Drosophila melanogaster: one gene and its partners. The protein of the gene in region 2 interacts with the protein of the main gene of each other region in a pairwise test. Each region holds a gene or a part of one and is shown on either strand. Other genes may lie near its edges.

Evidence for each region.
Region 1: the proteins of CG18745 (region 2) and Zasp52 interact in a two-hybrid assay, tested with the Drosophila melanogaster proteins (one large-scale study listed by BioGRID).
Region 3: the proteins of CG18745 (region 2) and CG9588 interact in a two-hybrid assay, tested with the Drosophila melanogaster proteins (one large-scale study listed by BioGRID).
Region 4: the proteins of CG18745 (region 2) and CG3402 interact in a two-hybrid assay, tested with the Drosophila melanogaster proteins (one large-scale study listed by BioGRID).

Annotation. Positions count from the first base shown.
Region 1 is NT_033778.4:15,809,348-15,818,262, reverse strand, and holds the start of Zasp52 (Z band alternatively spliced PDZ-motif protein 52), read left to right. Parts: upstream 1-3,345; 5' UTR 3,346-3,534; intron 3,535-8,915. UniProt on the Drosophila melanogaster protein: Regulator of cell matrix adhesion having two related functions, one upstream of Actn organizing the Z line and the other downstream of integrins regulating assembly of integrin adhesion sites.
Region 2 is NT_033777.3:7,780,648-7,789,144, forward strand, and holds CG18745 (uncharacterized protein), read right to left. Parts: upstream 5,473-8,497; 5' UTR 5,307-5,472; coding exon 5,192-5,306; intron 4,671-5,191; coding exon 4,527-4,670; intron 4,470-4,526; coding exon 4,258-4,469; intron 4,191-4,257; coding exon 3,617-4,190; intron 3,552-3,616; coding exon 3,295-3,551; 3' UTR 3,196-3,294; downstream 1-3,195. Other genes in the region: CG18747 (uncharacterized protein), read right to left, coding at 343-527, 909-1,503, 1,749-1,981, 2,039-2,167, 2,640-2,754; CG18748 (uncharacterized protein), read right to left, coding at 5,722-5,894, 5,954-6,536, 6,597-6,805, 6,871-7,020, 7,082-7,196; CG18746 (uncharacterized protein), read right to left, coding at 7,725-7,975, 8,067-8,497.
Region 3 is NT_033777.3:13,671,900-13,679,682, forward strand, and holds CG9588 (uncharacterized protein), read right to left. Parts: upstream 4,783-7,783; 5' UTR 4,631-4,782; coding exon 4,529-4,630; intron 4,229-4,528; coding exon 3,902-4,228; intron 3,838-3,901; coding exon 3,604-3,837; 3' UTR 3,193-3,603; downstream 1-3,192. Other genes in the region: Task6 (TWIK-related acid-sensitive K[+] channel 6), read right to left, coding at 76-202; Lkb1 kinase, read left to right, coding at 5,211-6,313, 6,380-6,574, 6,636-6,793, 6,851-7,098. UniProt on the Drosophila melanogaster protein: Acts as a chaperone during the assembly of the 26S proteasome, specifically of the base subcomplex of the PA700/19S regulatory complex (RC).
Region 4 is NT_037436.4:649,631-657,195, reverse strand, and holds CG3402 (uncharacterized protein), read left to right. Parts: upstream 1-4,314; 5' UTR 4,315-4,431; coding exon 4,432-4,485; intron 4,486-4,623; coding exon 4,624-4,752; intron 4,753-4,919; coding exon 4,920-5,108; 3' UTR 5,109-5,654; downstream 5,655-7,565. Other genes in the region: DNA polymerase Rev1, read right to left, coding at 1-298, 364-417, 480-903, 966-1,248, 1,303-2,660, 2,719-2,754; MED30 (mediator complex subunit 30), read left to right, coding at 3,186-4,142; Gale (UDP-galactose 4'-epimerase), read right to left, coding at 6,091-6,612, 6,673-6,963.

The DNA of each region.
Region 1 (8,915 bases), on a different chromosome or scaffold from region 2:
CGCATGCCGACAGCGCATGCGTGACATTTTCAGAGTGACTGCGCGATGTCGCTTCCTCTGGCTGGGTTCTGTTGGCCGGTCTGTCTTTGGGCCAGAAGTCCGCTCTGTCGACTGATCAAACAAAATAGCTGGCAAATGATTTACTACCGCTCTCGCGTGCATTAGCCAAAGTCATGGGGCTAGCACTTTTGGTTTCTGTTTGTTCTTTTCACCTCCAGTTGCTGGGAGACGGGGTTTTGTTGGCCCGCTTCTCGCTCTTGGTCAACAATATCACTGCAAAGCAAAGGGCATGAAGCAGGCGATCTGCAAGGCGGCAACCGGTTTCGGCCAACTGCGCAGTTTGATCGCTTTTTTCATGTCTTTCTTTTATTTTTTTTTTTTGGGAGGAACTGCATTTGCTGAATTGTTGCCCTCACAAAGAGTTTTTGCGGTTTGCCAAGAAAGTTACCAGTTTTAGATTTTTAAATTTAAATGTATTTATTTTAATTTGAAGAGTATGTATTTTGTTGCGATATATAGATATTCTTTATAAATCAGCTTTGATAAGCAGGTTAAGTTGGCTCATTCATTACAAGGAAAGTAACTGCATTCAGAAAAGTACGCATAAAAGGTTTAGAGGGTGTGCGAAAATCGCCGCTTTCCCGACTGTTTTGATTTTTGTTTGGCGCTAAAAAGGAAAATCAGACTTTGTGCCCGTCCAGAATCAGGGTGTTGTGTTGGGGCCGCTGTTGTTTTGGGTTGTGTAGCCGTCACCCAGATTATCAGGAAACTGGAGGAACCAGTTTCGGTGCGATGTGGCATGCAACCTAAATATAGAATTGCAGCTCGCCAAAAGTCGCGCTATTTGCTGCAAATTAGCTTGCTCAAATTATTGATCCAGACCAGAAAACTGAATTTATGGCTCGAATGCCATTATCACTGGCTGCGAAATTCATGGCTTATGGTTGCGCCCGGTGTTTGTTTATATTTGCATTTGCTCTATTCGGCTTTTTCTGGCCTTATCTTATCAGCAAGTGCCGCACACGAGTGTCACACATGCACAGGTACAGATACACATAGACTGGCCGATACAGATACGGATACCGATACAATTGCGCACCTTTTGGCCAACCACTTACCTGTTGATTGAGCGGAGAAGAGAGCGAGTGAGAGCGCAGCGTGCGGATGTGTGGGTGAGCGGGAGTATTTGTGTGAGTCGCTCGTCTTACAGTGCGACTCCAAACAACCCGTCGTCGTCGAGATCCCGATCCCAGCCCTCATTCGCTCGAACGCAACGATCGCGCGCGGTTGTATCTCGCAGAACAACAGAACAGAAAGATATAAACCCGGAACGAAAGATATAAGACCAAGAAGTGTCGAGGAACTCAAACGTATTCACTCAAGTGCTCAAAACATCCAGAAACAACTCTCCCGGTCACGGTCCCCCAAACGCTTTTCATTTTCGCAGAGAGAGAGAACGTTACGAATCCGCTTGCGAATCCAACAAGTGCGAGTGAAGGAAGTGTAAGTGTCTTGGCCAGTTTCTTGGCGATTTGTTGTTTGTGGTTCGTTGTTTGTTGTTTGTGCTGGCCTCCTGCCAAAAAGTTTTCAAAAAAAAAAAAAAAAACGGCTCCGCGAAGAGCCGGTTTCGAGCCACAGGGCTCGATTGTGTGATTCATGGCTCCGAAAACTTGACCGTTGACTCAGCATCCCCGAATATCAAAGACAGATTTAAGCAATTAAACCGCATTGGTATAAAAAGCAAAAGTGTTAACCGCAAGTTATTGTGTAACTAACCGTTGTCACCGTTGTCATTAAAACATAAAAACGAAAGATCGCCGAGATGCGGTCTTTAAACTTAATTACGCCCGTATCTCGGTATTTCGTATCTTAATCGCCTGACCGAAATGCGTAATAAAAAACCGCAAGAACAGTGTTTTTTGTTAGTGATTTTGATTGAATTGCGCTAGATTCTTTATTATCATTTTTGCCACTCAACATGATTTAATTAAAAAGCCGAAATGTTTTTTGTCGGCATAGTTAGGTGGCGGGTTGGTTTATTATTATTTGTTTACTTGTTTGCTGTTCTTGTTTAACCCGCCTGAGCTTTTTATGCCACCCGCTATGTGATGTGATGTAGACACAAATACGCGCGGCATAAAACATCCAAATATTATATTATATTATACATATTTATCTACATAGTCGTCCATGTTTTCCTGTCCATTTTTTTTTTGTTTTTTGGTGGATTGGTGGATTGTTTGCCTCGATTCGATTCAATTCGTTTCGTTTCATTTCGCTGCTTGATTGAGCACATCAGCGCTGGCAAAAACATATTTGCGTTTATTTTTGTAAGCTTTGCGCTATGGCTACATTTTAACATATTAATGCTTTATGGCTCACTTTTCATGCACTGGAAATTCAATTTAGGGAAATTTCATTTTAGCGAGAGTATGTTTTTGGACCTGCGATCTTTAAAAGAAGCATGCATTGGGTATGAGGGATGTGTGACCCCGACGGAATGATTAATTGTTTATTGAGAAATGGATAATGGATCGGATGGATCATAGCTCGGATGGAGTCACCACCGCTGATTCACGCACTTAGGATCTTTTGTGACCCAAATTCCCCAGATTATTCGGGGTTGTTGTTCCCATTTAGCTGCACACTTTGTTGTGGTTTTGAGGAAAACAGATCACGGGAAATAGTTCAGCACCTGCACTTGCTTTCAACTTCAAAGAGATGTGCCAAATGTGCGTTTCATACGCATAGTACATTCATGACAAGAAACAATAATATGAGATCATTGAAACTTTATGTATATCTAAAGTATAGATAATGAAATTATCCTACTTAAGGATTTATTTTTTGGGCAATTGTACTTGAGCCCTTCAGCAAATTGTTTATCCCATTTAACTAGATGTAATTATAGGATTACTATAAGTTACAGCCCCGAAACGGACTGATTGCACATGGGCATTTGGCTGGCTGCGCCGTTAAAAGCTTGGCTATGAAAACAAAATACAAACAATTAGCCAAATAACAAAAAGAATAGCCCGCACCAGGAACAACAACAAAACAGTGGGCCACAAAAGCCAGACAGACATTGGCAGCCGTTGCCGTCGCCGTCGTCTGGCGTTTTGTAGCTTTGCGGCTCTGCCGTCGTATCGGTTGGGAATTGAGAACCGACAATGTCTATATAGATGCTATATAGCCAGACTGTGCCACTGCCACTGCCTCTCGCACGGCCCAAAAGCAGCGACGCCGGCAGCGACGACGACTGCGACGGCAGCGATGTGGTTGAAAAGATTTTTGTATTCGAAAACGGCACAAAATGCACATAAAAATTTTCGGTTTCGGTTTTTGCTTTAGTTGAGAGAAAATCGTCGCTTAGTTAACGTCGCCCAAGAACTGAACTGGCAGTGCACCACAAACGTCACGAATATACGAAACCGAGATCCAAGTCCAAATCAGTAAAAATCAAATCAAATCGAAACCGTATCGAATCGAATCTAATCGAATCCCAGCAGAAAGCCACCCGATCGGAATAAATCGGTCAGTACCAGGTCGCATGTGAAATCAGACATTCGGTTAAGTAGAAATCAGCTGGTTATACAATAGCCTGCCGCAATCGATTCGCCAGGATCGCTGATGAATCAGAATCAATATCAGAGACAGTCACCGCCCCTCTCCCTCACCATTCGTCCACTAAATAGTGACTTGTGTGCATTTTGTGAAGGTTAACAACAAGTAAAGTCCCTTACGAAACCGAAGACTCAGCGCGAATAATATAGGCGATTGGTAAATAATTTTCTTGGCACGCCGATCCAGGGAATTTCTTTTGACGCATATATCACATTTGTTGGCCAGAGCACAGATACAGAGATACAGATACGTTGTAGATCTTCGGCTCGTTGAAATTGAATAAAATTATATAGTCAAAAAGCGAGAAAATTTTTAGAAACTTTTCAAGGTGAGTTTATTTATAGCTCCTCGAAATGGCTGCGCGGATTGGATTTGTTTCCGAATACTCTCGCTCAGTCAGTCAGTCAGCGCCGTTCGCCAGCAGCCATCCGCCAGATACAATATCTGCCAGATACAGATACACAAATTGCGAAAGTGCTGCGAATGTGGCGGCCACCACCTCCTGCGCCTCCTTTCTATGCTCGAATTGCTGCGGTTTGGCGCCACAAATTCTGAGACATTTTCAAAACGTTTTGAGCGCTATATAGACTATATATCGGCGACAGCATAAAGCATCGCATATTAATGAAGCCAGACCAGCTCTCTAGGTCGCCTCCTCGAAAAGTGTCTTTCGTTATCTTGGCAATTTTCGTTTGCGATTTTCGTGGCTGCTCTTCGGATTTCCTCTTCGCCTGATCTATTTTCAGCGATTTTCAGCAATCGCTCTCTCCTTTTCTCTCTGCCTACCTCGCCAGCTCTCGCTCACTCTCACTGCCGCTGACATCACGTATACGCAGTGGTTGCTCTCCATTTCCATTTGCCATTTCCAATTCCTGCCAGGCCACCAGCAGTCTGCCTGTGATGTAATTTAGCCATGACCAAAACTTGTTGATACTCGCCCTGTTCTTGTGTCCGTTTATCTTCTGGCTTTCTTTTAGCCTGGGTTCAGTGAACCCCAACAAAACGACGAAATCGATTAATCACCCACCTTGTTATCTAGCGATTAAACTAATGTTTGGTCACCTCACCAATAATAGCTGTAAAGCAATCGCCACTTCGACCGAATCAATCTTACAACGCCTCACAACATCCGTGAATCAATGCCCGATAAGATAGTGGTTCTATAAACTTGAATGAGCTAATAGCCATTGCCACTGACCACTTTTTCGATGAATGAAATGTCTTTGTTTACACTGGGGTTTATCAGTCCAGGGCGGAATTAATTACGCAGAGGATGATGGGTGCACTAGAAAATACACCGAAAACAAAGAGCTGACTGTTCGTTTAATTATTTAAGTCGAGTTCTTTTAGTAAACAGAATTGTATCTAAATTTTTTCTCACTGCTGAAAAATACTAGCAAATTCCTTCTCGGCCGGGAATCGTAAATTAAGGCCGTCGTGGAAATGTAGCTGAGCTCATTAGAATGGCACTTCTCGTGCACATCCTATTCCTATCCTATCCCATTCCGTTCCTGGGTGCGTGACAATATTTCATGGCTTGGCTTCACTTGACTCGGATTCGTGCACATATTGCAACCATCGCGGGGGACTGAGCGATGGGGCAAAAAAGGGGAGACATGCTCTACAAATTTCAAACAGCTTTGCGTATATTTTAATTAGTTCGCTCTCTCATTGGCCGCTTTTGCTTTTTGCAAATTCTCTGCGGTCTCTACGATTGCCACCAAATCATTTCTCAAGAATTTAACCTTCGTGAACTGTCATGGTAGATTGCATTCTCTTTCCTTTTGCTGAGACAAGCACTTCTCTCGTATCTTTGTATCTTTGTTTATTCTTCAGGGTTCGTATGTCACTCAGAGCAAAAGAACAAAAAAAAAAAAAAAAAAAAAGGTGGCGAAACAACGCAAAACCCGACCGATGATAATGATTCAAGAATATTTAAACATACGTTAATGGAAGGTTCTTGCCTGGGAATGGTTGTAGGAGTAGATTGAGATATGACCCCTTTCGACCTTCTGATCTTGAATCTCATATGCTATATGCTATATGGCTTTTAAAAGAACTTCTATAATGAATTTTTAAATGCAGTGCTTGGCTATAGGAAAGAAGGTGTGCTATTTCAGCCAATGATATCATCTCAGCAAAGAAACAATTTCTTCAAATGTTTACTTCCCAATATATAGCATAAATAAATACATTTATTGCTATACAGACTGATACTATTAGCTCTCCTTATCGATTTACTAAGTTATAGTGCTCTGTTATTGCTCCCACTTAAAAAGCACTTGTGAGGTGTGCAACCCTGACCTTAACTTCTGCCAACAAGTTAATCACTTTCGCCTGGCCAACAACTGCGATGGCACACTTTCGCACAGATATGAAATCGCAAGTGGAGGAGGCGAGCGGAGTCGAGCGGAATTACACAATATTCGAGCGGCAATTTGACTAAAAGTAATCACGTATCCGACGCCTCGCAATTACATAACCGCAGTGCGTTGAAAATAAACGCCCACAGACGCGAAATCTTCGACGAAGAAGTGCAGACTCAACGCAACTCGAATTGTCTGAACCCTCCCCCCCATACCCCTTTTTTTTACTTTTTGCTAAATGGGTAATGGGTACCACTGCTGCCACTGCTCTTTCTGCACCACAAACGTGACTGGCAAACAATTTTTGGTTTCATCGCCGCGGCAAAAGCCACAGAAACCCATCGAGAGATTGCGATTGAGTCGGCACTTTGGGATAGGGTTTTAGTGGGGAAACCCGCATGGCATCTCATACCCATGCCATTCCATCCCATCCATTCCAGAGTTTTGTTTATGAATTTAACGAAGGGAAAATATTTATTTTGGCCATGCACGTTGCGCTGAACAAATTATAAAATCTCGTGCGGCGCGCGCTCATAAATCACAACAGCATTTACGTGCATCTCTTTTTCGGCATCGAGATCGAGAATTAATTGCCCGACATTTGGTGGCGTTTAAACGGGCGATTGGTGATTTTAAATACATATGTATGTAAGCCAAGACATTCCGCTCGAGTTTTCCTTGGAAAAATAGTTCAAAACGCTGGCCTTCCGCCCACCGACGAACTAATATTCGAGGGGCATTTCTGCGCCAAGTCTATTTCGATCGACAGCCCCTGCAGACAGACGTCAATGCCAAAGTCACAAATATCAAAAAAAAAAAAAAAAAATATATATATATTTGTGATTGGCGAAAGCGAAAGGTAGGGCGGCATCTCAATGAAAATTACTTTGCCTTAACCCCTGCTGACCAAACTGCAGCTCCAATTACCCCAAAAACGAGAAGAAAATAAAAAAGAAAAACAGCGGTGTGCGTCCGTCACCGAAATAGTTGCCTCGGCCAAATGAATTATATACATTTCTGATGTATTTTTAAAAGAAGAATCCGCCTGTGACACTTGCCTCTGTCCATTACGAAGGCTGACAAATTGTTTGTTGAAACGGGGTGAAATGCAAATGCTAAGCATTTTATTTAGTCTTTGATTAATTCATATCCAACAGATACTTGTTCGCTTGCCAACAGAGCAGGCGAGCGGGCAGTGGTCTTAACAAATTCATTCGGGTGTTCGCACAATGTTCCCAGCATCCAGGAGTCGAGATGGAATCGAGGAGCCGAGGAGAAATCGAGGAGACCAGGAGCCGGGCACTTTGTCAGCCCTAATTGCAGCACTTTGTAAACTGTCACCAGGGCAGGCCGTTCAAAGGGGGCGGGGCAGCAACAAGTGTGTCTCCTCCTGGAGTTCCCATTTTTTGATGGAGAATTATGGCCGCCCGTCCTTTGTGTCGACTTTATCTGCCAGTTTCAATCTGCCGCCTGTCATTAGGCCAAGTGAATAGGGGATATATGCCTGCGAGATATGCTCTCCAATCATCCGAATGAGGAAAAATTTGCATTTCGCAATTGCATTTCGCTTAATCGCATTTTGTTAACCCATTAAAGCCCAGCAATTATGCACAAAAGGTAATTACCAACAAAAAAATAAAACGGCGGGAAAAAACAAAGAGGCAGAATGAAAATAGTTTTCAATTAATTTCATTTTGTTCATTAATGTTAAATCAAATGGCAAATCCATGCGCTGTCCGTCTGTTTCTGCAGTTTTCAGTCCGATAATCTTATTGACTGCATAATGCGTTCGGTCGATTGGATAGAAAAAACATACATACATATGTAGATAGATTTCAGCGAAGAATGTCTTTAAAAATGACTACTTCTAAAATCAATGGTTCGATTTTTGGGCGAGGATTAAATTAAATTACCGCACAAACAGCAGCAGATTGACAAGCCTATTAAATTGTCATTATATATGCCACACACAATTTGTAGACAAATTGAAGAGGGCGATGGAGATGGGCGACTGATTGAGGGCTTTGTTCTGCGCACTTTGTGCGGCTAATTAAATAAATGTGTTGATAATTACGCTTTATTAGCTCAAAACAACTAATATGGCATTAACTATTCCAGTGACAGATTTAAAATTGCATTATTTTCACTATTTTTTTTTCCCCCAGCAGTTGCATTTTTTTGTTTAGCTGTTATTTGTTCAATTGCCAAAGCCGTCAGTGCTTTATGCCGGGAGTTTAATTTATGGGATTTGCTTTTTTGATTGTTTCTATTATATATAATTACATTTTGCGCTGGCGAATAATGTGATATTTTGCATTATTAATGGTCGCATTTATTGGCCATTGCTCTTAACAATCCCGCTTTTAAATCCGTTTACTTATCGATATCGAGACGAATAAAAACGAGAACTATAAGCGGTACTATATGTATCTTTTGGATTCGCCCAAATGCGTCTGTTCTAAAATATCAGCATATTGCTATTCGGCTTCAGCTTTAAACGCCGGTTTTTGACACACAATTTAATAAATATTTACCTGTCAAATATTTCATATGTCTATGTTGATTCACTCGAAAATCCTCCGAAAATAGGTGAACGCATGGAAATTGAATTTTTGGCTGACCGAAACGGCCATCGAAGTATAATATCTCTGATTAAAATTTGCATTCGCATTGCATATTGCACGTTTCTCATAGAAAGCATTCGGGAAATATTAATCAATTTTGCGCACAGCCATCGCACAATTATAAATCCCGTATCCAAGCAATCAAATTGCCGCATAAGCTCCCCTATTTGCCAGGGTATGCTGTGCGTTTGTATCTGCAGAATTTACATATTTTATTTGTTTAAATTTATGCAACTACAGGCAAATATTTGAAATTGCCAATTGAGAAAAAATGTCGATAAAAATTGCTCTGAATTAATAC
Region 2 (8,497 bases):
ATATTTACTATAACAGCACAATTTAGAAAGTAAGGATAATGTATAACCAGAAGCTAAATTTATAGTTGCACTGAAGAATGTATTGTTAAAAATTATATTATTTAATACTGTACTTTACAGTAATATTTATACTGTAACATACAAGTTTTTAGAATATTTCGCGCTGTAATGTAAGATGTAAAGTGAGAGGAGGGTCAAAGGTATCTTAAGAGTACAAATAAATTGAGTACTGTATGGACATTTAAATAAGTTTATTTTTTTTGGTTTTTGGTCTACAATGAATCCAATCAAGTATTGCCAATTGAAACATCTTAGTGATAAGTTTTTCAAAATTAAAATGCTCTATTTGACAAAACTTTGGTTGACGAATCCCGCATTCCGGGCGTTTGCCGTGAGCACGGGCGTAGGACTAGGTATACTATACACGGGATAAAGTGGAGCAAACTCATTGCTCCCGAAGGCATGTAGTTCCTCTTCGTTGATATTGCCCCGCTGAGTGTGACGGGACTCCTCATAATTGGGGAGCGCTGTAAAGTAGAAGAATAACGTGGTTTAGTAAACATAACTATTATAAATAAAATATAAAGTAAGTTATACTACCCATGCAAGCTTTTCTTATCGTTTAAATTTAAAAATATTTGTTAATCTGGAAATAAGTTTCGCACCTTTTCTTCTACTCAAAGTGACTATATAAGCCGTAATACATTATTTATTATTTTCTTTTGAACTTTTGTTAGCCATTTTATTATTACCTAGTAATGGCACTTGAAGCTTGCGTTTGGCATATGTTTTGAAAGTATAGGCGATGTCTACAAAAACTTCGTGCTCAGTTCGTTAAAGAATTTGATAAGATTGCAGTCAATCATTACAAGTTCATTGGCACGTAGACTGCAAAATCATGATCTCACCTGAATCAGCAGCACTGGATGCCAGGTCGCTGGGCAAGCTCTCAAGTGCGGTAACCATGGGTAGCTCGTCGGGAGGATTCCTTCTGGAATCCGGTCCTTCGTAGTGGGCGCTCCGCCGGGGAGGTTGTTGAACCACAATGCCCGAAACCGCCAGAGGAATGGTGCCAACGGTAACCGGCATGACCATCAGCTGTTGTTCGCGTAGACTCTTAACCAACGCCTCAACCTCCAGTTGGTAGGCGATCTGGATGAGGTTGCTCAACTCCACGCAGGTGGGCGGCGTTGAGGGTACGGGCAAATCGATGGTCTGGGATCGGGTGCACTGCTTCAGCACCGATTCCCCCTTAGCTCGCGATATTATTAATCGCTCCACTCGAGAGTGTTCAGGACTGACGCTGTAGTATCTCACCAGCATTACCAGAGAGAGTCGGATTTCGGAGACGGCTACGGCAGTGTTGTTGACTACCACAATGGTCACGGGAATCTTCTGGCCAGGAACGTAGCCTGCTTGTGGAAGGTGCAGCTCCAGTTTTAAAGGATCCGTCTTGCATGGACCACAGCAAAAGGTGCGGTAACCCTCGCTGTGGGCAGCGGACTGTAATGGATGAATCGATACGATATAATTAACCTAAATATAATTTTTGTATCACTATAACACCGAATCATTTGAATTATCATTATCTTAGTATGATTACTTTGAATCCACAAGTAAAATATAACTATAGTTCATTAAAAGTACCTAAAATGTCTGTACGTCTTCAACTTAAAAAAAGTCATTTTAAGTGTATTATGAAGTATTTTATATTTCACAAAATACATCATTGCTAGTTGCATACTAACCTTTAGCTGGGGAGTGTCAAAGTTGAGATCCAGCATCTTGAGAACCGTGAAGCCCTTTGTGTAGGCCTGATCGAACTTCCACGGTCTGATCAGCAGGACTTTCACTATATAGCGGATGCATCCATGGCGACCCTCAAAGGACGAGGGGCATTGATAGGGCAGCTGGCAGGTGAAGTTGTAGCTGTGAACCCCAGCCTCAATAGTGAGTCTGTGAGTGTTGTTGTGAGTGTTGTCTTTTTTGGGAGATAAAATTGTTTATAAAAGCAAACATCTTTGAGGTTTCTACTCACTTTGCTCGGAACCCACGAGATAAGTATTTGATGATAGATAATCCTCCCGGCCCACGTAGAGTTTTGTCGAGCCCAGACTCTTTTCGCTCCACTTGGTTATAGAATATCCGACTACCTTGAGCAGCACAGCTGCGATTTAAGAGAAAATAAAGAAAAGAGTTAGGATATAGTGTTATCATGGTGTCTATATAATCTGTTAATAAAGTTGGGAGTGCACAATATAGTTAAGCCAATTCTAATCTCAACTGAACTGTTATAAATACTTGAGGAGAATTTAAATATTGTCAGTAAAATCAAAATATTCCTTATATAATTCAAAATAAATTTTGCGATGGGCCTAACCTTCCTCCTAATCACGTTATTAAAATAATACCAAAGCAAAGCCACTTCAAAGTGTTATCAATCAACCGAACACATTCCGCGTCTAAGAATGTCCGCTAAATTCAGTGTCGTCATAAAAATATACAATTTCTACATACACACACATCGTTATCGAGCAAATATTTATAATACTGCCGCTAGGAAGAGCTAACTTCAAGAAATTAGCCGAACTTCTGGGATTTGTTTTCAATGTAGTTTATTAAACGTTTACTATAATTACCTTGAACCTCCTTGGACCTGTCACATTTAAGGGTCGCGCATCCTTTTACCAGCTGACCGGCGTAGAAAGTACCATGTTTATTATTATCGAAGCTGATCTCACACGTAACAACCATTTTTCCCAAGATTAAATGTCCGAGCGCGAAAAAGCTAAAACCGATGTTATGGGGCAACTCACTGCGACTAATTTAAGTACAAAACTTCTGGACTGCTTGCGGTGCGACCGCGTCGTTAGATAAGCGATAAGAACCATAACTTGGACCCGATGTCGGATTCGGATTTCACCGGGAACGATACGGAATCGTAGTCCAAACTGTATAAGAGTCGATAATAAGTTCCCTTGCGAACTACTCGGACGTTCACTTGGGGTTTTCGGTCTGTTATCAGAGTTGGTTGTCGAGACCTTGGCACTGGGGAAGTTATTGCCAGCATTCATCGAGGGGTTTTCAAGAGGAAAGAAAAGCGTCGTGTTTGAAAATCTTAGACTACATATGGTAATATATATATAATTTCGAATAATTTCAAAAATCGCTCCACCCTGTACCAGTCTTGGAATTGTGATAAAATGTTTATTATAAAGTGTTAGGTGGAACTTTTGCCTTGTGTGCAAATGCTTTATCGCCCTTACATTTCTAGTATAGTATTTATTTTCGTTCTCATAGCCACGTTCCCTTGTCTTTGTCCACATCCATGGCCGGATTGACAAAGGCCCTCTCTGCCATATAATTCTGCGTATAATCCGTCGGCGGCGGAGCTGAGGGACTGGGTATGTCGAAGACCGGATAGAGTGGCTTATAAGCACCGCCATCCAAACTGAGAGTATTGGGCGGTACTGGTTCCGGGTCGTCTAAGTCGTCTGACCTCGTTGCAGCCGTGCTGCGCATGTGAACAGCCTCCTGATAGTTGGGCGGAGCTAAAAACACCAACAAAAAACATAAATTGATACTGTAATTAGTTTATGGATTCTAGTAAACTCACGAATGGATGCGTCGACAGACCATGGACTTGAAGAGTTTGGAGCAGTGGCTACTTCTTCAACAGCCAGCTCATTAACATTCAGCTGGGGGACGAAACCCCGAGGCTGGATTGGTACGTGTTGTGCAAGAGGGACACTGCCAATGGTCAGCGGAATGGTGACAACCTCGTTGTTGTGGCAACCCTTCACCCTGGCCTCCACCTCCACTTGGTAGGCGATCTGGATGATGCCGCACAGGTTGAAGCAGGTGGGCGGAGTGGCCGGGACTCTGATCTCATAGCTAAATAGCTTCTTGCAGTTCCTTTGCACAGCGTCCCCCTTGAAGGTGTTTACCACCAACCTCTCGGACGTGGTATTGGGCATCGAAGGTGGCTTACTGTGGTATGTCACCAGCATCACAAAACTAATGAGGAGCTGCTCCACCGGAATGTGGCTATCGTTTGTGACCAGCACGCTAAGGGGAACATTCTGGCCAGGTACAAATCCTGTCTGTGGAACGGTCAGTTGGAGGGCCAACGGATCTGATCGGCAAGGCCAGCAGCAGTAGGTCTTCGAGGTTTCACTGTGGGCGGGTACCTACATAACATATTCAATTAGCTTAGGTTCTAACAGATATGTATTCGTGTTTGATTTTGATTCGTACCCTTAGCAGTGGACTATCGAAGTTCAAGTCCATCACTTTTAGCACCGTAAAGCATCGGGTATAGCTCTGATCGAATTTCCAGGGCCTGACGAGGGTTACGGTTGCCATGTACCGCACCCTGCCGTGTGATCCCTCGAAGGACGAAGGACATTCGGTGGGAATCAGGCACACGAAGTTGTAAGTGTGAATTCCCGCTTCAATGGATACTTGGCCTGCAGATATGATTAGCAATTAGATGGACTTTCTTGCCTAAATGGAGCTTTACGTACTGCTCAGATTGGATCCCACCAAAAATGTTTTGGACGCTATGTAATCCTCGCGGCCGCAGAATGTGCGACGTCTCCTCCTTCTGTTTGTGGTCACCCTTTCAATCCAACGCGTCTCTGCGTATCCGGTTATATTCAAGGTGATGGCTGCGGAGAAGAAGTTGATAAGGTATTTCTTAGAAAGGTATTTTAGCTCAATGTACTGTAACGAATTGAATTTATTCTTTAATTGTTTTTTAAGTCATCTAAACGATGATTATGGTTTTGACAAATTAAAATCTTTTAATCATACAGAATTACTGTTATGCATTCACATGAAATATCCATAAAAACTTACAAAAGCAATCGTTGTATATATGAAAAAGTCAAATATGTATCCACCCCTATTTAATATTAATTAATGCGAAACCCATTGATTATTTAAAAATAATTTAATCTTATCGAACGCAAATATTATCATTGATGCATTTGTGTATGTTCGCCAAACACCTTCATGTAGACATTAGATTTCGCACGTGTGGTTCTCTACTCACTATAAATATATGAGTCACCGGACTAAATCTTCGTTTAAAAACATTCAACCGCACTTTTAAGTTGGACGATAAGATAAGAATGACTCATGGCATATTGTCAAATTCCAAAGGTATCTCAAATCAACTGCCCCTCACCTTTTACCAACTTCATCTTGTCCAGCTTCAACGTAACTCTGCCAGTGAGTACCTCGCCCCCAAAGTAGGTGCCATGGGGATTGTTATCGAAATCAATTTCACAGGTAACAGTCATAATTGTAATTGTAACCGCAATCGTGTATTTATGGGCCGATCCTACTCTGATGCCGCTGCAAACACGACTGATTTGATTTTAATGCCAATGTTCAGTTATTTACTCCCTAAATTCCGAGAACTCCAGACAGAGTGGAAGGAACCGCTTTTCGCGACGATAGCACCCACATGCCCACTTGGCTGCCAGAAATCAACTGAGAATAAAACAAACATTGCGGTTGTTCTATATTGGTAGCGATGGCCAGAAAAACTTTATCTTATCGCTGTCACAATTTTGAATTATACATTTTGCCAAATGCAGTCGAGCAGCAAATAGCCCTCATATCTCCGGAAAAATCCCAAGGACTTCTTGACAAGCAGGCGTGGGATGGGATGTCCAATGGTTCTCAAATGTAGAATAGTTTTTTCGCCCGCCTTCATTTCTTTTCCTCTTTATCCAAAGCCGCTTCCTTGCTCTTTTCTACAGTTGAAGTAGACAAATCGAAGACAGGATACAACGGCTTGTAAGACTTCTCTTGCGCATTTCCCGACTCTGACTGTTTCTCAGAGTCACTATGGGAATGCATGGCCTCGGCGTAGTTCGGTGGCGCTATAAAAATCGTATGGTTACATAATTGATATGGACATATTAAAACAAGGACAGCTTACATAGTGTGGATCCTTCTGACCAGGGATATGGGGGAGCAGCTGGAGCAAAAGCTCCCTCTCCCTCAATCAAAGTCAAAGCTCTTTGTTCTGGAGCCTCTGGCCCAGAGCTCTGCGGCGTATATTGCACCGCTGACGGCGATATCGGAACACCACAAATAGTCACCGGCATTATCAGAGTTCCATTGATATGCATGCCCTTCACCTTGGCCACAACCTCGATCTGGTATCCGATCTTGATAATGCGGCACAGATGGAAACATGAAGGCGGAGTAGAGGGTATCATCAGTTGGAAGTCGTACATTTTCCGGGAGTTCCTCAAAACTCCATCTGCCTTTAACTTGGCCACGGACTTGCGCTCGCACTTGGAACCTGAACTTAGATCACTGTAGTAGGTGATCATCATTGATAGTCCAACCTTCACTTCGTGCACCCGAATTTTGCTTTCGTTACCAATCAGAACATTTGCGGGTACCGTCTGACCAGGCACAAAGCCAGTCTGCGGCAAATTCAGCTCCAGCGTTAGAGGATCCGATCGGAAGGGCCAGACCCCAAAGGTTTTCTCAGTCTTGGCCTGCACGGGAACCTTAAAAGCGATTACATTGTTATAGCAGACCTCCAAAATTTCGTTTCATGTTATATTTACCTGTGAAACAGAGTTATAGGTGTTTATGTCCATCACTTGAATAACGGTGAAAGCTCTTGAGAAAATGCTGTCGTACTTCCACGGCTGAATGATATTGACATCCACCATATAACGTATACGACCATGAGTCCCCTCGAACGATGAGGGACAATTGATTGGAATTGGACAAGCAAAATTGTAGGACCTAGTTCCCGGCTCCAAAGCCATTTCTTTGCGAATACATAAAATGAAATTTTGACCAATTTCAATAACAAATTATCACTCAATATTTTACCAGGGCTAATTTCGGAACCCAAAAGATAAACTTTACTGGAAAGGTATTTCTCAAATCCATTGTACGACTCTGAAGTGGACTTGTTATTCGAATCAGTCTTGCTTTCGGTCCAATGGGTCTCTGCATAACCTTTTAGCTTAAGTCGAATTGCTTAATATGTAAAATGTTGCGAGAATTATATGAAGTATCGCAATCACAACTGAGTACTTACCTTTGATTTGAATCGCCTTATCAGTGCTCAGAGTCACTTGACCAGCAACCATTTGGCCCGCGTAAAAAACCCCTTGCGTGTTGTTGTGAAAAAGAATTTGGCAAATTATTCCCATGGTTTTTTATGGTTAAAGCACAAGTTTTAATGAATTTAAGTCTGTCGTTAATTGTTAAGATGTTTTCCCTTCAATTGCCGCAATCAAACTGAACTAAAAAGTTTCTTACCACTTATTTTGTGCAACGGAGAGCTTTTGGTAATTTATCTTATCAGTACACCCATAAATCTATTTATTGGTAAACCCAAAAACCCCCTACAATTTTTTTATACAATAAATAGATCATTCGTAACCAGCTAACATGAGAACTGAATTATCAGGTCCAAAAACAGCTGATACTTATATTTGTGGTGTAAAAACAAGTGCCCCCAAATGAGTTGAGGCTCTCGCATCTGAAGATAGCAATTTCACTCAAATAAATATATTAACTCATCGATAAGATATCGCACAACTCAGCAAATATTGCTCACTGAGGTCGACGAAAAGTTCCCGCAGTTTGCGTTCAACCACAGGGTAATTGTCATGTCTGTTGTATTTCGATTACTTATTAATTATTTACAGAGTGGGTACATTCATTTTTAAGCCCTTCTAAAGCCAAGTGCTTTTTTCTACACCTTCATTGACATAGCCGCCATCAGTCTTGGGTTCATTTGCTCTCAAAGTCATTTCGTCCACTTGGTTTGACAAATCAAAGACTGCGTATAAGGGTGAAAACACAATTGTTTCAGCTTTCCTCTCTTGTGATCCTTTTACACCTCTTTTCTGAGACTTTTTCTTCGATTTCGAGAACTTGTGCGGATCCGGGGAGATGTGTTTAGCCTCAGCATAACTCGGCGGTGCTAAAATAAATAAGTGATTCCTTGAATTATGATCTTTAAATTCGAATATGGAGTTTTGTATGAATTTCCTTAAAGCTCCTATTTTACTCACCAATTGAAGGATCCGCAGCCCAAGGATTGGGGCTTCCGAGTGCTTCTCCATTCTGTTCGCTGCCAATTAAAATCAAAGCCTTCGCATCTAGCTGCTGGGGTGGCAGAACTTCACCCCAAGTCCTTGGTTCTTTTTGGAGTTGCTTCGTTAGCGGGACACTTCCAATAGTTATGGGCATGTGAAGGGACTGGCCGCCATGACAACCTTTAACTCTGGCCTCCGCTTCCACCTGATAGCCGATCTGAATGATGCTGCATAGATTAAAGCAGGTTGGCGGAGTTGGCGGCACCTTAAGATCGAAGGTAAACTGCTGCCGGCATTTGGTCGACACACCTCCGCCTGTTTTCAGGACCATCTCAAAACGGTCCTTGTTGGTGTCCGCGGACGGGGGTTGACTGTAGTAAATCACCACCATAGTCAGTTTTACGGTT
Region 3 (7,783 bases), 5.9 Mb from region 2:
GTAGCTTTATTTTTCATACTAACTCAACCTTTTCGTGCAGTGCACCGTGCTGTGGCACTTGAGATTCGCACTCACCTTGCAGCGCCTCCCAACGACGCTTTTCCGTTTCCGATTCGAGGGCGTCAAAGACGGCGGCGCCGACAAGCAGATAGGTAAATGTACACACGATCAAGGATATCGTGCGCACATTTTGTTTCTTCATTCTTCATTTAGGCGAGTAATGGGTGAGTTGATCCTTTGTTCAGTGGCGTCGCCTCCGCTTGCGGTACAGTTTGCAGGGCTTTTCCTGGCTGCTGCTGCTGCTCACCTGGCTAAGCGGGCTGCACCTGCCGTCGTCCATATGAATCCTGCTCGTCCTTTCCGGCTGCCGCGACTCACGCTCAAAGGACAAACTACCCAAATTGGGTTACGACCCAAGCCGACACGACGGCTGCACTCTAGTTTCGTAGTCTCTGCTGCTTTTCTTTTTTCGGCAAACTCACTTAGCACTTTGATTGCATTAAAAATAATATCACTGGGGGCCAACGGGAGTGGAGCAAGTGCTGGTGCTGGTGCTGGGTTCACGTTTTTTTTTTTTTTAGTCGGTTAGCTCCTGGCGAGGAGGCGATGGTGGCGTTTATTTCTGTCACAGGCCGTGGGCCTTTGTCCTCGTCGCGTTCGTTGCGCCGTCCATGTCCTTGCGTTATTTATGCTGCCAGTGAACGTAGACGTGGGTGTGTGTGTGCTAGAGCTGCTGCCAGTGCATGTGCATGTGCGGGCCATGCTGCAATCCTTCATCGGGTGGCGGCATCGGCGGCGCTGCTCCTGCTCTCAAGGATTATGGTGCCACTGGTGGTGGTGGTGGTGATGGTGCTGGTGCTCCTGCTGATGGCGGGCGCCATCGCGCTGCACTTGTAGTTTCTGCCGCCGTGTCCTTCCTGCGTGAAATGACTCGAATTAGGGTCTTTCTTTTTATGGCCGGGCTAAAAATAACGACTGCAACTAATCTGTCATCATCAATACCACGCTACCACTACACTGGGTTGCTCCTATGGAGCTTCGCCTATCATCCCAGTGTTGTCTATAAAAGGTAGTGATTTTGCAATATGAGGGATCAATAATGTTATATCTAAGGATTTTCAATGAAACTCCCACAAAAAGATGTGGTATTAATATCTTTTTCTTGCTTTCTCATATGTCATAGCATACTTTTAAGCACCTTTTCAAAGAAACTTCGAAACTAAATGTTTTCTGTGGAAAATAGCATACTTTAAGGCACATATTTCAAGGATATGATGTTCTGCAGCATTGAAACTCCACAAATGGCTCTTCAATGTGTACATTTAACTGCCGAAGGACTTCTGATCCTTTTCGACGCGTAAAGGATCAACTTGAACTTCATTGTTGTGCCACCATGATGACCGGCGCTGTGTGTACTTTTCATCTCAGCTAACACACACACATACGCACACACACACACACACTGGCCCACCACACAAACATGCAAATGAATTTTTCATTTGCATGTGTCCTTCGCCCAATGAGCGTAAGGACTTGTGGACACACTGGCACAACTGGCACTTTTTGGCAACGTGTGAGGCTGCGAAATCTCAGCTGTAATTGTTGAATAATTCAGTTAGCACGCGGGATAATGAGACGCCGAAAACTGAAAATGAAAGCTCCTCCTTGAAGTTCTCTTCGAGTGTAAGTGTGTGTGGCCATCTAACGCCAATTTATTGATGAACAATGAGGCAGCATTGCAGTGTCTCTGAATTATTCAAGTGTGTGTGTGTGTGAATGTGTCCCTGTGTTTGTGTGTGTGTGTGTGTGTGTGTGTGGGGCTCGAAGCGCGTTGAAGTGTACGCACGCACACAAGCGCAGCGCAGACACAGGCTTTTTTTAATTCATCGAGAGTAGCAGCCGAAATGTTTGGTCCTTCGGTGCGGATTGTGGGGGTTGGTTTTCCTTTGCCCCACAGCGACGCACAGACACACACACCACACACACACACACACACAGGAAAAGGATGCCCGCCCTTAGTTAACTTTTTTGTTAGTTTCCCCGCTGCTGCCTGTTTGTTGTGCTATTTCGCGCAGCTTTCGTAGCCCCAACCACCAAGCAGATTCCCTCACAATTCCCATGCACTGGCAATGACAGTGACACTATCCTGCCACTCCAGTTCGCGAAAAAAAAGATGAAAAGAAGGACGAGAGCTGGCTGGGTCCACGCATTGGAAGTGTTTCATTATATAAAGCCCGCACACATACACATCCTTTCCGCCGCACAGGACGAACGCGAACGGCTCGCAATTTTCATCGGTCGCGTTGTTGGCAGCAGGCAGATCCTTTCAATCGCTCACGTTAATTGCACAGAAATTCAGCGGCGCCCCACGATTTTTTCACTAGCGTAATTTGACGGCGATTGGGCCGCACTTTCGTCCTGTCGCCACTCGGATTCGGATTCGAAATCGCATCCGTAATGCTCTCGATTCGGATTCGACGGCTGCGGCAGCTTTGCTCCGGCGCACAAAACAAGCAAACTGGTGCGGGGATAATTTTTGTATATTTTGGCAAGCAATTGGAATTGTTATTCGCCAGTCGCTTTGCTTCAACAATTTCACTGCATTTGTAATTATCCTTTTTTTTATCGTGGCAATCGGATGCTGCGGCGCGGGTGAAAAAAGTTTTAAACTTTTACGCTGCGTGTTGCTTAAATAGATTTTCGGGCGAAAGCTCGTCCTGCCAAATTCGCTCTCTTCGCGGAAAATCTCTCTCACTGTTAAGCTAACATGTGTCCTAACCGGTTAAGCGAATTCTGTTACGGAATTTGGTTCGAGTCTGGGCTGCAGACTGTTGCATTTAATTTAAAAAAAACCTGATATAAAAAACGAAACAAATAAAATGACTTTGCCATCTCATAAAAACTATTATTCCAATTGATTAACAATACACTCTTTCAATTAAATTGCTCACGTCAGATATATAAATAATTTTATCTTAAGAAGGAGTACAGTTTTAAAGCCATTGTGCCCTGACTAAGCGCTTGAGCATTGGTTGAAAACTTGGCTAGTACCTGGATGTTCAAAAACAGAACTTTTAAAATCGAACATTTCTTTAGAATTTGTTTCTCTGTTAAATTGAAATGTTCATAAGAAGAATAAACCATAGTCTTCTGCAAAAACGTTTATGCTTTTAGATAATAATTTCCAAATTTGTTTTTTATATTTTTAATTATATATCCTTCTTTATTTACCAGTAAAAGCGCTATAAAAACTTATTTGTTAGTAAAACCGCCTCATCATTTTGTTACGCATCATTTCATATTGAATGAAAATTAAATGCAAAAAAAATCGGTCATGTCGACAGAATCCACCGAATCACAATATCATCCTTTTGCCTGTCACCTGTGCACCTTGGGTCACTCCACTGCTGCTCCTTGGCCCACTGACCCGGCTGTCAGTCAGCGAGATGACTCCAGCTGAAATTGCCCTGAAATCGCGTCCAAAAATCAATTTTCACAATTTGGAGCAACCATGTTCGTCGGCCTGGCAGAGATGGGCTGATAACTAAAGTGCAGGGCAGGAGTGCACAGGCAACTCGAAAAAAGCTTAAACACAAAGCTACATCAGTGATCCATCGCCTCGGGCGGCAGGACGATGTTGCAGCCCAGGAGACCGCGTCCACTCCACGTTTTCGGCACCAGGATGAGGTCCAACTGCTGCTCGCCGCGCTTCACTTTCAGCTGGACATTCTGGCTCTGCATGTTGCGCACCAGCTCGCCAATCTGGGCGAGATCTCCCTTGAAGTTGCCGCTATTGATGGAGCCAAAGCGGAGGATGGCATCGCCGGCACAGAGACCCTTAAATGGTAAAGATGGCCCATCTCAATGCTGTGATCTTCGCTTGTTTACTACATTCACTCACAGCTCTTTCGGCGGGCGAATCGGGACTGACCAGATTGACCACCACGATGGCGCGTGCAGGAGCAAGATCCGTGATATTAGCGCCACCGGGTGAACGGTCGCTGTCCAGGTCCAAAGCGGAGGCGCGGTTCACCAGCTCCGGATCTGTGGTGGCAATCTCGCTGTGATATTGGTTGAGCAGCGTCTGGATCTGGTTCATCAGCTCCTTGTGGTCGTTCTGCAGGCAGATGATCGTCTGTCGCGCCAGGCGCACCTGGTAAACGTCGATGTCGTTGCGCGGAAAACCCTCGGCGTCCACCAGTGGTCCACTCATGCCCACATTGTCGTTCTGGAAGGAAGATATCATTATCAATGCTATACAGCATAAACAAAAGAATGTACTCAAAATACAATTGTGTATATACCCTACACCAAAGCATAGGATAATGCTGTAATGCTTGCCCAAGTGGACATACCCTAACCAACAGTAGGGTATTGAATATATCAACATTTGGCTTGGCGGTCCGTCCAAGTTGAAGAACCTGCGATCATGAATATCCACGGTGGTGCGTCACCAACAGCTTGCCACAGTGTGCATACCCTATCCCGGATGCAGGGTATCCCCGGATGAGCAAGCGAATTTACTTACGGCGGCCAGGATCTGTCCGTTTCTGTTGATCTGCGCCTCCAGCTGCTTTTTAGCGTTAATCAGACGCTCCAGGCGCTCCTTGGTCGTCGTCCCAGCGGCCATGACTTCCACTTCGATTCGAGTTATTCCAGCGTTCGTCCCGAAAAATACAAATTTATTATTTTTCGTTAATGTTTTTTTTTTTCAGCAGCGACAGTAGCAACAACAACCAGTGCTCGTGCAGCCCTGGTTGCCCGCGACCAGTGTGACCGTATTGCGGCGAACTTACTTTGGCCAAAAACTAATTGTTAAACAATTTTTCGGAAGGGGAAAAGAACAAATTGAACGGCGAGAGTAAACACAGGAATTCACAAATTTCTATGAGAAACAGATCGCACGACGGTGAAACGAAAGGGGGGAACGCCTTTCCAGCGGACATCGCAGAATAGACGACGGGCGACGAGGGACCTCGAAAAATCGCACGGCAATCAATTCGAGTGTGTGCGAATTGATTACAAAAATAAAGGTATTTCGAGAGGTGAGCGATAAAAGCGCGTGTGTGCCTGGTGAGGATTAGGTGTAGCCATGAACTAACCAAACGTTTTGCAGCCACAGGCAACACAGGGACCACACCGTCCACTCCCATCCGCCGGAGTGGGGCTGCCACCTGCGATATGTGATCATTGGGGCTCCGCGGAGGTTTATGCAATGTTCTAGCTCTCGGCCAGTCGGAGGTAAAGCAGCCGGTGGAGCAGAAGCAGGAGGGGCAGGAGCAACAGGCCAGATGACTGTGACCACCATGGAGGCACAGGTCAAGGCAGCACACCATCATCATCTACATCATCCCACGGGCGGAGGGGCCCAGCACAAGGTGGAGGAGGAGGAGCCGGATCCTGTTGAGGACGAGATGACCGTACTGCTGGCCAATAAGAACTTTCACTATGACGTCGCCTCCGATCTGGACGACGACGCTTTTGTGGAGCTCAAAGAAGACACCGCCCAAGCGGATGATGCGGGCGCGGGCGTTGGCTTCTACAATCCGGATGAACTGCTGCTCGATGACCAGCCACATCCGCAAGTCACGTGGCTGGACGACGACGAGATCGAGACGCTCGATCGCGTGACGCTGGACATGGGTAATATGTTCTTCAATCGCGTCGACAGCCAGGACATCATCTATCAGCAGAAAAAGAAGAGCATTAAGATGGTGGGCAAGTACATAATGGGCGATGTTCTCGGCGAGGGATCGTACGGCAAGGTGAAGGAGGCCATGAACTCGGAGAACCTGTGCCGCCTGGCCGTCAAGATCCTGACTAAGCGGAAGTTGCGCCGGATTCCCAACGGCGAACAGAACGTAACGCGCGAGATCGCCTTGCTGAAGCAGCTGAAGCATCGACATGTCGTGGAGCTGGTCGATGTTTTGTACAACGAGGAGAAGCAGAAAATGTACTTGGTCATGGAGTACTGTGTCGGCGGGCTGCAGGAGATGATTGACTATCAGCCAGACAAGCGGATGCCGCTGTTTCAGGCGCACGGTTACTTCAAACAGCTAGTCGACGGCCTGGAGTACTTGCACAGCTGCCGGGTCATCCACAAGGATATCAAGCCAGGCAACCTGCTGCTCTCCCTGGATCAAACGCTGAAGATATCCGACTTCGGTGTGGCGGAGCAACTGGATCTGTTCGCACCTGACGACACATGCACGACGGGCCAAGGTTCTCCGGCCTTCCAGCCACCGGAGATTGCCAACGGACACGAGACGTTCGCCGGCTTCAAGGTGGACATCTGGTCCAGCGGAGTGACTCTGTAAGCCTTCCTTGTATAATATCATGTATTAAATGTATATACTGTACTAATCTAACGGATTTGCAGCTACAATTTGGCCACTGGACAGTATCCCTTCGAGGGCGACAATATCTACCGACTGCTGGAGAACATCGGGCGAGGTCAGTGGGAGGCGCCCGCGTGGCTATACGAAATGGACGCGGACTTTGCCAACCTGATTCTCGGCATGCTTCAGGCTGATCCCAGTAAACGCCTCTCTCTGCAGGAAATACGCCACGACACGTAAGTAGGAATATTCCTTGATTGCACTTCATGATAACTGATTGTTATAATCTGCTTTTAGTTGGTTCCGATCCGCACCGGTTAAGACCGGCCCACCGATACCCATTCCCCCCCTGAAGGGTGACAAATACCGCAACTCCACGGTGATACCTTACTTGGAAGCTTACCACTACGGCACCCAGGAGGAGGATGTCTACTTTACAGAACACGACGTAAATCGTACGTACCAACATCAATCTAATGCCGAGTGAACTACTTTCATGGTTACCTTTACAGAGGAGCTCGCCCGCCAAGCGGCAGCTGCTGCCTCCGAAATTCGGGCCAAACAGTCGGCGGCAGCCCTAGCCGCCTGCCACACCTACGAACCGCCCTCCACAAGTGCCGCAGCCGCCAGCAATTCGCTGGGCAACGGTAGCAGAGAGGAGGCGCCCGTCAAGAAGAAGGGATCGGCACTGAAGAGGCGCGCCAAGAAGCTGACGTCCTGCATCTCCGTGCGCAAGCTGAGCCACTGCCGAACTTCGTAGGCGCCTTAGATGCCTCCACTAAACATAGATGCTAAGATTTATCGAAAGGAATAACTTTGTTAACAAATTGTGAGCAACTTTTTGGTTTTGTTTTCCCGTTTTTATTCTGTTGTCCTACATTCGCCAAGTATTTGTAACCATAGAATCATGTAGGAAATTCAGGCGCAACCTCGTACCGCCCGAGCAGCAGGAGCAGCAGCGGTCGCATCAACAGCAGCAACAGCCCGCATCAGCGGAGTTGGCTGTGGAATTGGGGAGCTATGGGAGCGACACGAAAGCTATATATCCATGTGACAATACTGTGTATTATATGAAACAAATGAATGCGTAAATTAGTCGTTAATATATTATGATGTACTGAAGGCAGCCGAGGATTGCCGGAGGAGACGGTGCCCATTGGTGCGTCGCACACATAAAGAAATATGTTCAAGTGAAATTGTTTGTTGGCTTCGTTATATTCTAAACTACACACGACGAATGATGCGATTTTCAGGCGCCGTCGGTACAATAACTGCTGGACAGTATTTGCAAGGCCTAGGTTGAGATTTTAATTTTTACAAACCAATGAAACGAAAATAAAAGAACCCATTGAATATCAAAATACAAACACTGCATTTAGTTCGCACATTTCGCACATTCCAAATTCCACACTCAACACTCGCAGACGCTCCATTATTCCATGCAC
Region 4 (7,565 bases), on a different chromosome or scaffold from region 2:
GGCGGTGAGCGGAGGGTCGGATATTGTGGAGAACGATATCCATCGTACTCGGCAATGCAGAGGTGTTCCTCCCTATTGGCAATCACCTCGAGGCGTATATCCTCCGGCAGCTGAGCCAAAACATCCTCATCAAGTTTTGGTACAAGGGATAATGGCCGAGTTATCGGCTTTGAAGTTCCTCTTTGACTCCTGTCTTCGGTTACCGATTTCCTGCTCACCGCTGCTGCCGTGAGCATACTCAAAACATTCCTGGGCTCACGGGGCTTAGGTTTATTTTCAAACACGAGTGGTTTGTTGACTGCAGATAGATGATATACAGGTCTTAAATAAGTTGGGAAGTAAATTATTTTTCAGCTTAAATACCTTTATCATCGCCTATGGACTTATCGCCAACTGCTCCTTGGGGTATTGGTTTATCTAAAGGAAACGTGTACGACATTTTAATAAAATCGGTATACAAAATTGGCCGGATTAAATACCTTTCCTCATTTCGGACATTTTGCCGAACATCTCCTTGATATTGTTCTCCTTCCGAACTTCGTTGGCATCCTCCAGCCTAGTGAGATGTATGCCTAGCCCACGCAATTCGTCGGGCGGTATATCGGCGTCTTTCATCAGGTCGAGGACCACCGTGGTGATTACATTTACATCATCCGTGGCATATTTGATCAGAGAGGACTTGTTGATTATATCGCAAACTCCGTGGCCCATGTACTTGGAGGTTTCGACTGGCGCTTCGGCGGCGCGCACCATTATCTTCAGATTAATCGATCTAGCTTTGCGCCTTATCTCAACCAGACGCTTAGTAACCTCTTCGCTGAGCTGACACAGAAATTGTTCGCACTCGACCGAGTTGGTAAAGCGAATACCAAAGTTCATTTCGGCAGAAACTGTTTTGCGGATCTAAACGAAAAGTACGGTATTAGAAACAAATATGTGGGACGCAATAAAATCTGCACACCAACCTGCTCGTAAGCCAAAGGACGATCATCAATTCCTCTGCAGTTCTGGAACAAATTCTGTCCAAGTTTCTTGCCCAGCACTTTTTCCATCTTCTCCAACGTTGTATTCTGAACATCTCCACAATTATTCAGTCCCGCCTGTTTGAGCTTATGGCTTATGCTGCTGCCCACACCGGGCAGTAAATCCAAAGACATCGGCGCCATATAGGCCAAAATATCATTGCTCGAATCCAACAAGAACTGGCCATTCGGCTTGGCCTCCTTGGTGGCCATACGCGCCAGCAACCTATAATATATATAATATATATTATAATTGTAAAAGGCTTATTTGGTCTCTCACTTGTTGCCTGCCACTCCTGCTGAGCACGGACATCCCGTTTTGGAGTAAACCTCCTGCCTGAGGTGACTCACAAAAGCCATCACATCTACATTGAGTTCGTGTGCCAGATCGGTTAGCTCCACAAACATCTCGTCGCAACTCACAGCCTCGATATTTAAGGTATACTGAGCCACTGTGTCGTACAGAGTGAAAGCCACCTCCTTGTAGCCTTCGAAGTCGTACGGAATCGTCTTTAACTCCGGGCACAGCTTCAGGGCCTGGCCCACAAACATGCCATTGCGGATACCCTTTTCCCGCGCCTCGTAGCTGCAGGAGGCGATCTCCGAGAGCGACATTTTCTTGTCGAAGCCCGAGCGCACCTTTTCCGCCTTGTCTCCATCGTGGAAATGGTGCTCGAAGCGCTGGGCAAAGAGTTCCAGCTCTGCCTTTCGGTCCGCCTGCGGATGCACCGGTACATCGGTGGCTGCGTTACCTCCCTTCGAGTGGGTCACCGCAATCGGCAGCCCACGAAGCTCAGGACGGGTTCTTAGGCCCACGGACACAAAGAAGCAGTCCATGTCAATGTGCATCACATAGCGTTCCAAACAATTGTGGTGTGAATTAGCAAGGGACTTCAGTGTCTCTCTTTTGGGAAAGCCCTGGGTACCATGCTTCTGACGCAACCGGCAGACATACTGCTTGAAACCCGCGCCTAGAGTGGCGATGTGATGCAGTCGTGAGTTCTTATAGAATTCACTTAAGAAATTTGGATCCGCGGCTGTGCGAGCGGTGGTGGAGTTATTCGAGGTGGTGGATAAGTTTGTGATCTTGCTCTCTGATGCACTGGCCTCCTTTTCCGGCGAAGTGGCCACAGCCTGCTGCAAATTCTTGAGAATGCCACCCAACTCCATTTGCGTTTCATCTTTTGTAGAGTCTACTTCCACTTCCGCTTTATCTTTCGGCGGCTCCACATCCGATTTGCTCTCATTTGCGCCGTTGTCTTTGGGTTTCCCAAAGATGAGCATGGGCTGCGATGTCTTCTGGTTCGTGTACAGCAGATAGGGTTTGTAGTCTACTATCTTCTTTTTCTCCAGACAATCCACCACCCACTTGGCGCTGATGAACTTGCTGAGATTCATGTTCCTGACCTTCACATCGGGCAGAACGGAGGCTATTATGTACGTCGTGTGGCTCCTTTCGTAGTGGTGAAAGGTCCCGCCGTGCACCATCATAATACGCTTCAGTTCATCCGCCGAAGGGTCAGTCCGGCCGTTCACAAATATAGAAATTCCTTGGAAGAGGTCCGACTTGCGAAATGGATCGCTGGCGGCAGCGAACTGCTCCTCAAGTTTAGATTTCTTGGCTTCGAAGTAGCCGCCCTGAAAAGAGCAGGTTTGGTTTATGTACAATGTTTTTAGCATTTTATCTACATCTTACCCATTCACTAAAACCATTATCCTCATCGCGGGTCATTTTTAATCGTTTAAAAGCATGAAAAAGCCAAAATTGAATTCCACCAATACCGCTCAGCTGACACACCTATGTTCATTATTTTTGCGCGCATGTGGCAACTCTCTTTTCGCATGGACGCATTCCTAACGAGTTTTGCAGGGGGCTATTATTACCATTTTGGATTTGACTAAGAATTTAAATTTTAGTAATCACCAAATAAAAACTTAGTAAAAACACTCAAATTTATCTAGTGAAGATAATCTAGATCTAGATCTAGATCTATCATTTAGGATTGGTAATTTAAAACCCGCGACTTCACAGCTGTTTGCGAGCATACAGTTTCAGCGTTATCTAACACTATCCGTTTTGTTTTATGTTATCGACAACAGTGTCATTTGCCAAAGTTTATCGTTCTGCGTGATATTTTGTTTATTTTATAAGAACGTTGCAAAATGTGGAAATACGGTCAAAACCAGGGTAATCAGGGACCATCGAGCGGCGGCGGAGGAGGCGGGGGCCCCAACATGATGCCGATGGGTGGATTTGGCATGCAGCACGGCAATATGCAGCAAATGCACATGTCGCCTCAACATCAACAGCAGCAACAACAAATGGGCATGATGGGCGGCCCGGGTAGCATGCAGATGAATCCCCAAGGACCTGGAGGTCCTGGCGGCCTGATGCCCGGCATGTCTCCGCAGCACCAGATGCAGCAACAGCAGCAGCAGCAGATGATGCAGCAGCAAATGATGGTGCCCCAACAAGGAGTGGGCGTCGGAGTGGGAATGGGCGGTGGTGTGGGAATGGGCGGAGGGGGAGTGGTTCCACAGCAGCAGCAACAGCAGCCCCAACAAAACATGCCCCAGCAGAACATTCCCCAACAGCAACAGCAACTCAATCCGGTCGCAGGAATTCCACCCGGTGGAGCCGGGGGCAGCAACAATATGCTGGCTATCTCGCAGCAAAATCCTCACAAGGAGATTAACATTGTGCAGCTGTCCCGTCTCGGTCAGGAAACGGTGCAGGATATCGCCTCGCGCTTCCAGGAGGTCTTCGCCTCCCTCAAGGGCATCCAGCCCACCTCGCACAGGGAAAACAGCTCCGAGAAGAAGGTGCAGGAGTACTTCCGCACCATCCGGCTGCTCTTCAAGAGGGTGCGCATCATCTACGAGAAGTGCAACGACGCCGGAATGGATTACATGAGCGCCGAGAGTCTGATTCCCTACCGCGATGAGCCGGAACCGAGAATCGAGCCCTCGCTGTGCGATGAGTACCGGAAAGTCCTGCAGGAGAACCATGAACTCATAGAGACCGTCAAGCTGAAGAACAGGCAGCTACGCGAGATCATCGATCGGACACGCATCATCATCTGGGAGATCAACACCATGCTGGCCATGCGGCGCTCATAGGCATAGGGACTCTAGATGTATAATATAGTATAAATAAAACTAAGAAACATTGCCAAACAGCAATCGTAAAGACCTTCATGTTTTTATTTTATATGAAAAGTATATATTTAAAGTCAGCGGCAGTCGCTGGCAACAATCGCATTATTGCTGCAACCTATCGATTTTTCGCCATCGATAAATGATTGCGAGGAAGAAGCAGAGTTTGTTGTGGGCGACAATCTTAAGACGAATTTACCAGCGGAATCTTAGCTAATCTAGCAAATTAAAGTTAGTCAAAGCATCGGTAGACATGGCGAAAATGGCATTCCAGCACCAGGCCGGCACGGCGATGGAGTGCTTGAGCGTAAGTTGCGAACGAACTAAACCTGGCTCACACGCACAGTCGCCTGTGTGTGTATAGGTGAAATTGGGTCGCTGGAGCAAAAAAGACAAGCCACTTTCAAATTCGAGTGATTGATGAAATGTGACTCACAATTCCCAGATTCCCATCACGCTGCACAAGGAGAAGGACTACGACCAGGAGGGGCGCGAGATCCTCAAGTGCGGCTTCAAGATCGGCGGCGGAATCGACCAGGACTACAAGAAAAGCCCTCAGGGATACACGGATTATGTGAGAAACTTGGGAAACACTAGAACCTAATTCCGGGCATAAAAGAGAGCTTCAATCTTAAAGCTAATAATTATAGCTCTCCTTGAAAGTCGGGGAATTTAGTTTTAGTTCGGTATCTTAAGAGCAGTTTCAATGTTACAATGTTACGTTTTCCCCTTTGAAAATAGGGCATCTATGTGACCGAGGTGCACGAGGGCAGTCCCGCCGCCCGAGCAGGTCTGCGGATCCACGACAAGATCCTGCAGTGCAACGGCTACGACTTCACCATGGTCACCCACAAAAAGGCCGTGAGCTACATCCGGAAAAACCCGATACTCAACATGCTGGTGGCCCGCAAGGGCGTGACCTCCACATAAGTGGTGCTCGGAGCAGGGTCTCCACAGACTACAGCAGTATTTAAGCGGCATTTAAACTATCCCCTCCACCGCCCCTCTGGGCTACGGATCTCTTTGCCTCCTGCAACCTATGCGAATACTTAGAACTACCATATTATACATATTAATTCATTACGTATGCATATCGCACACACATGTAGCCAGACGTAAATGTAGCACCTAGTAATGCTTCTTGTTGAATTCGATTTCTTTGCCTCTCCATCACTTGTTGAACGAATCGCCAAGCTCCTAAGTGTAAAACAGATTGCCAAATACCGATACAAACAAACACTCCCAGAAACAACAGGCTCGAATATAAACAATTTTGTACTTTTATACGTGCAGACCATTCCAAAACCAAACAGAAGCAGCAGCCGAACGCAGAGTTGTTGAAAGAAACATACATTCATAGTACATACTTGTGATAAATGACTTTAACTGTGCAGATATGTGCGAAGAAGGCGCATCACTTAAGTTTAAAATTGAGTTTTTAATGTTATATTGCATTTGAATAAATGTTTGCTAAATAAATGTGCGAGTTAGACGTCTTCTTGTAACTTTGGTCAGCTTAATGTGATTATGCCATTTTTGATTAAGATCTGACAAATGGTTGATGCAGTTGTGTGTTTATTTTACCTAATGCCAAGTGTAATCTCCCAGTGCCACCTTGTCGGTGACCTTAATTACGTGATTGCGCCAATTGGCACGCGTCAATGATGCCAGCGGTCACCAAACGCGTAAATGACGGTCACAAAATTACATGACAACAGCGAAAAGCCTTTTTAATTACAAAGTACTTTGGATTACATACGCACACTTGCACACATCGAAGTGAGCGAATACTACACGAAATTTGGAAAGAAATATACACAACTAGAGGCAAATAGAAATTGCTACCTGAGCCATTATCAGGCGTAGTAACTCAGGAACTTGCGGAGCGGCAGGAACGTGGCGATATACAGCTCTACTTGTTGGCATACCCGTTTGGGTTCTGGCTCTGCCAGCGCCACGTGTCCTCGCACATCTTGTCGATGCCACGCTCGGCCTTCCAGCCCAGCTTCTTATCCGCCAACGTGGCGTCCGCATAGCAAGTGGCCACATCTCCGGACCGTCGGTCCACCAGAGTGTAGTTGACCTTCTTGCCGGAGGCCTTCTCAAACGCCTTCACCATGTCCAGCACCGAGTAGCCCACGCCGGTGCCCAAATTGTAGGCGAAAAAGCCCGTCTCCGCGATGTTGCGCAGCTTGTCCAACGCCTTTACGTGTCCCTCGGCCAGGTCCACGATGTGGATGTAATCGCGCACGCCGGTGCCGTCGTGCGTGGGAAAGTCGCTGCCGTAGACACTCAGGCTGGGACGTCGACCCACGGCCACCTGTGCGATGTAGGGCATCAGGTTGTTGGGCTCGCCGTTCGGATCCTCGCCAATCCGACCACTGATGTGGGCACCCACCGGGTTGAAGTACCGCAGCGAAACCACTGCCCAACGCTGAAAGAGCGAATTCTTTAGTACAGAACTTATGGACATCAAGAAATGACATCCTCCTACCTTGTCAGACTTGCACAGATCCTTGAGAATCTCCTCGGTGAAATATTTAGTCTTGCCGTAGGGCGATGTACAGTTGCCCGTGGGATGCTCCTCGGTCACGGGCAGGAACTTTGGCTCACCGTATACGGTGGCGCTGGAGCTGTACACGAACTTGAAGACATTGTTGTCGGCCATCGCCTCCAGCAGGACATTGGTGCCGGTCATGTTGTTGTGGTAGTACTGCAAAGGTATGCGGCAGGACTCACCCACGGCCTTCAGGGCGGCAAAGTGGGCCACCATGTCGATTTTGTGCTGAAAGGGATGTAAATATATGTACCTATTAGTTTGGGAAATCCAAATCTGTAATAACCAGCTCTTCAGTAAGCACAAGGATATTGCCTCTTATAAACGTAAAGTGCAGAATTTAATAGCAATTAAATGAAAGTATCACATTGATTTCAAGGTGATTTATTGACAAACAATTATGTGTTCTTTAAATAGCTGTTGATAGTGCTGATTAGGTAAAAAATTCCACCACAACAAATACTGCTCAATCTATTCAGTAATCAGTGCGCGTAAGCACAAAGCTGTGTGCATTTATGGTTGAATAAAAATATGAAAAAGTATCAGCTTAAGATATTTCATGGCTATTTGGGCAACAACGTGCATTTTTATAATGTTCATTACATGTAAATAAACGCTTTGTTTTTTATAAACGACGGTGGTTAACAAAAAAAACCCCTTTGATCGAACATCTCAAGAATGCGTGATAACCTGCTCGAATTAGCGAATTCTCTTGGTTATCAATGGATGTAAACACTGCAATCTGGGCTCCCGACCACCCAGATTGTAGTGTACGTGCCCGGGAGCTGTTGTGGATGTGGATGCCAGCGCACCAACTCGAATGCGACCTC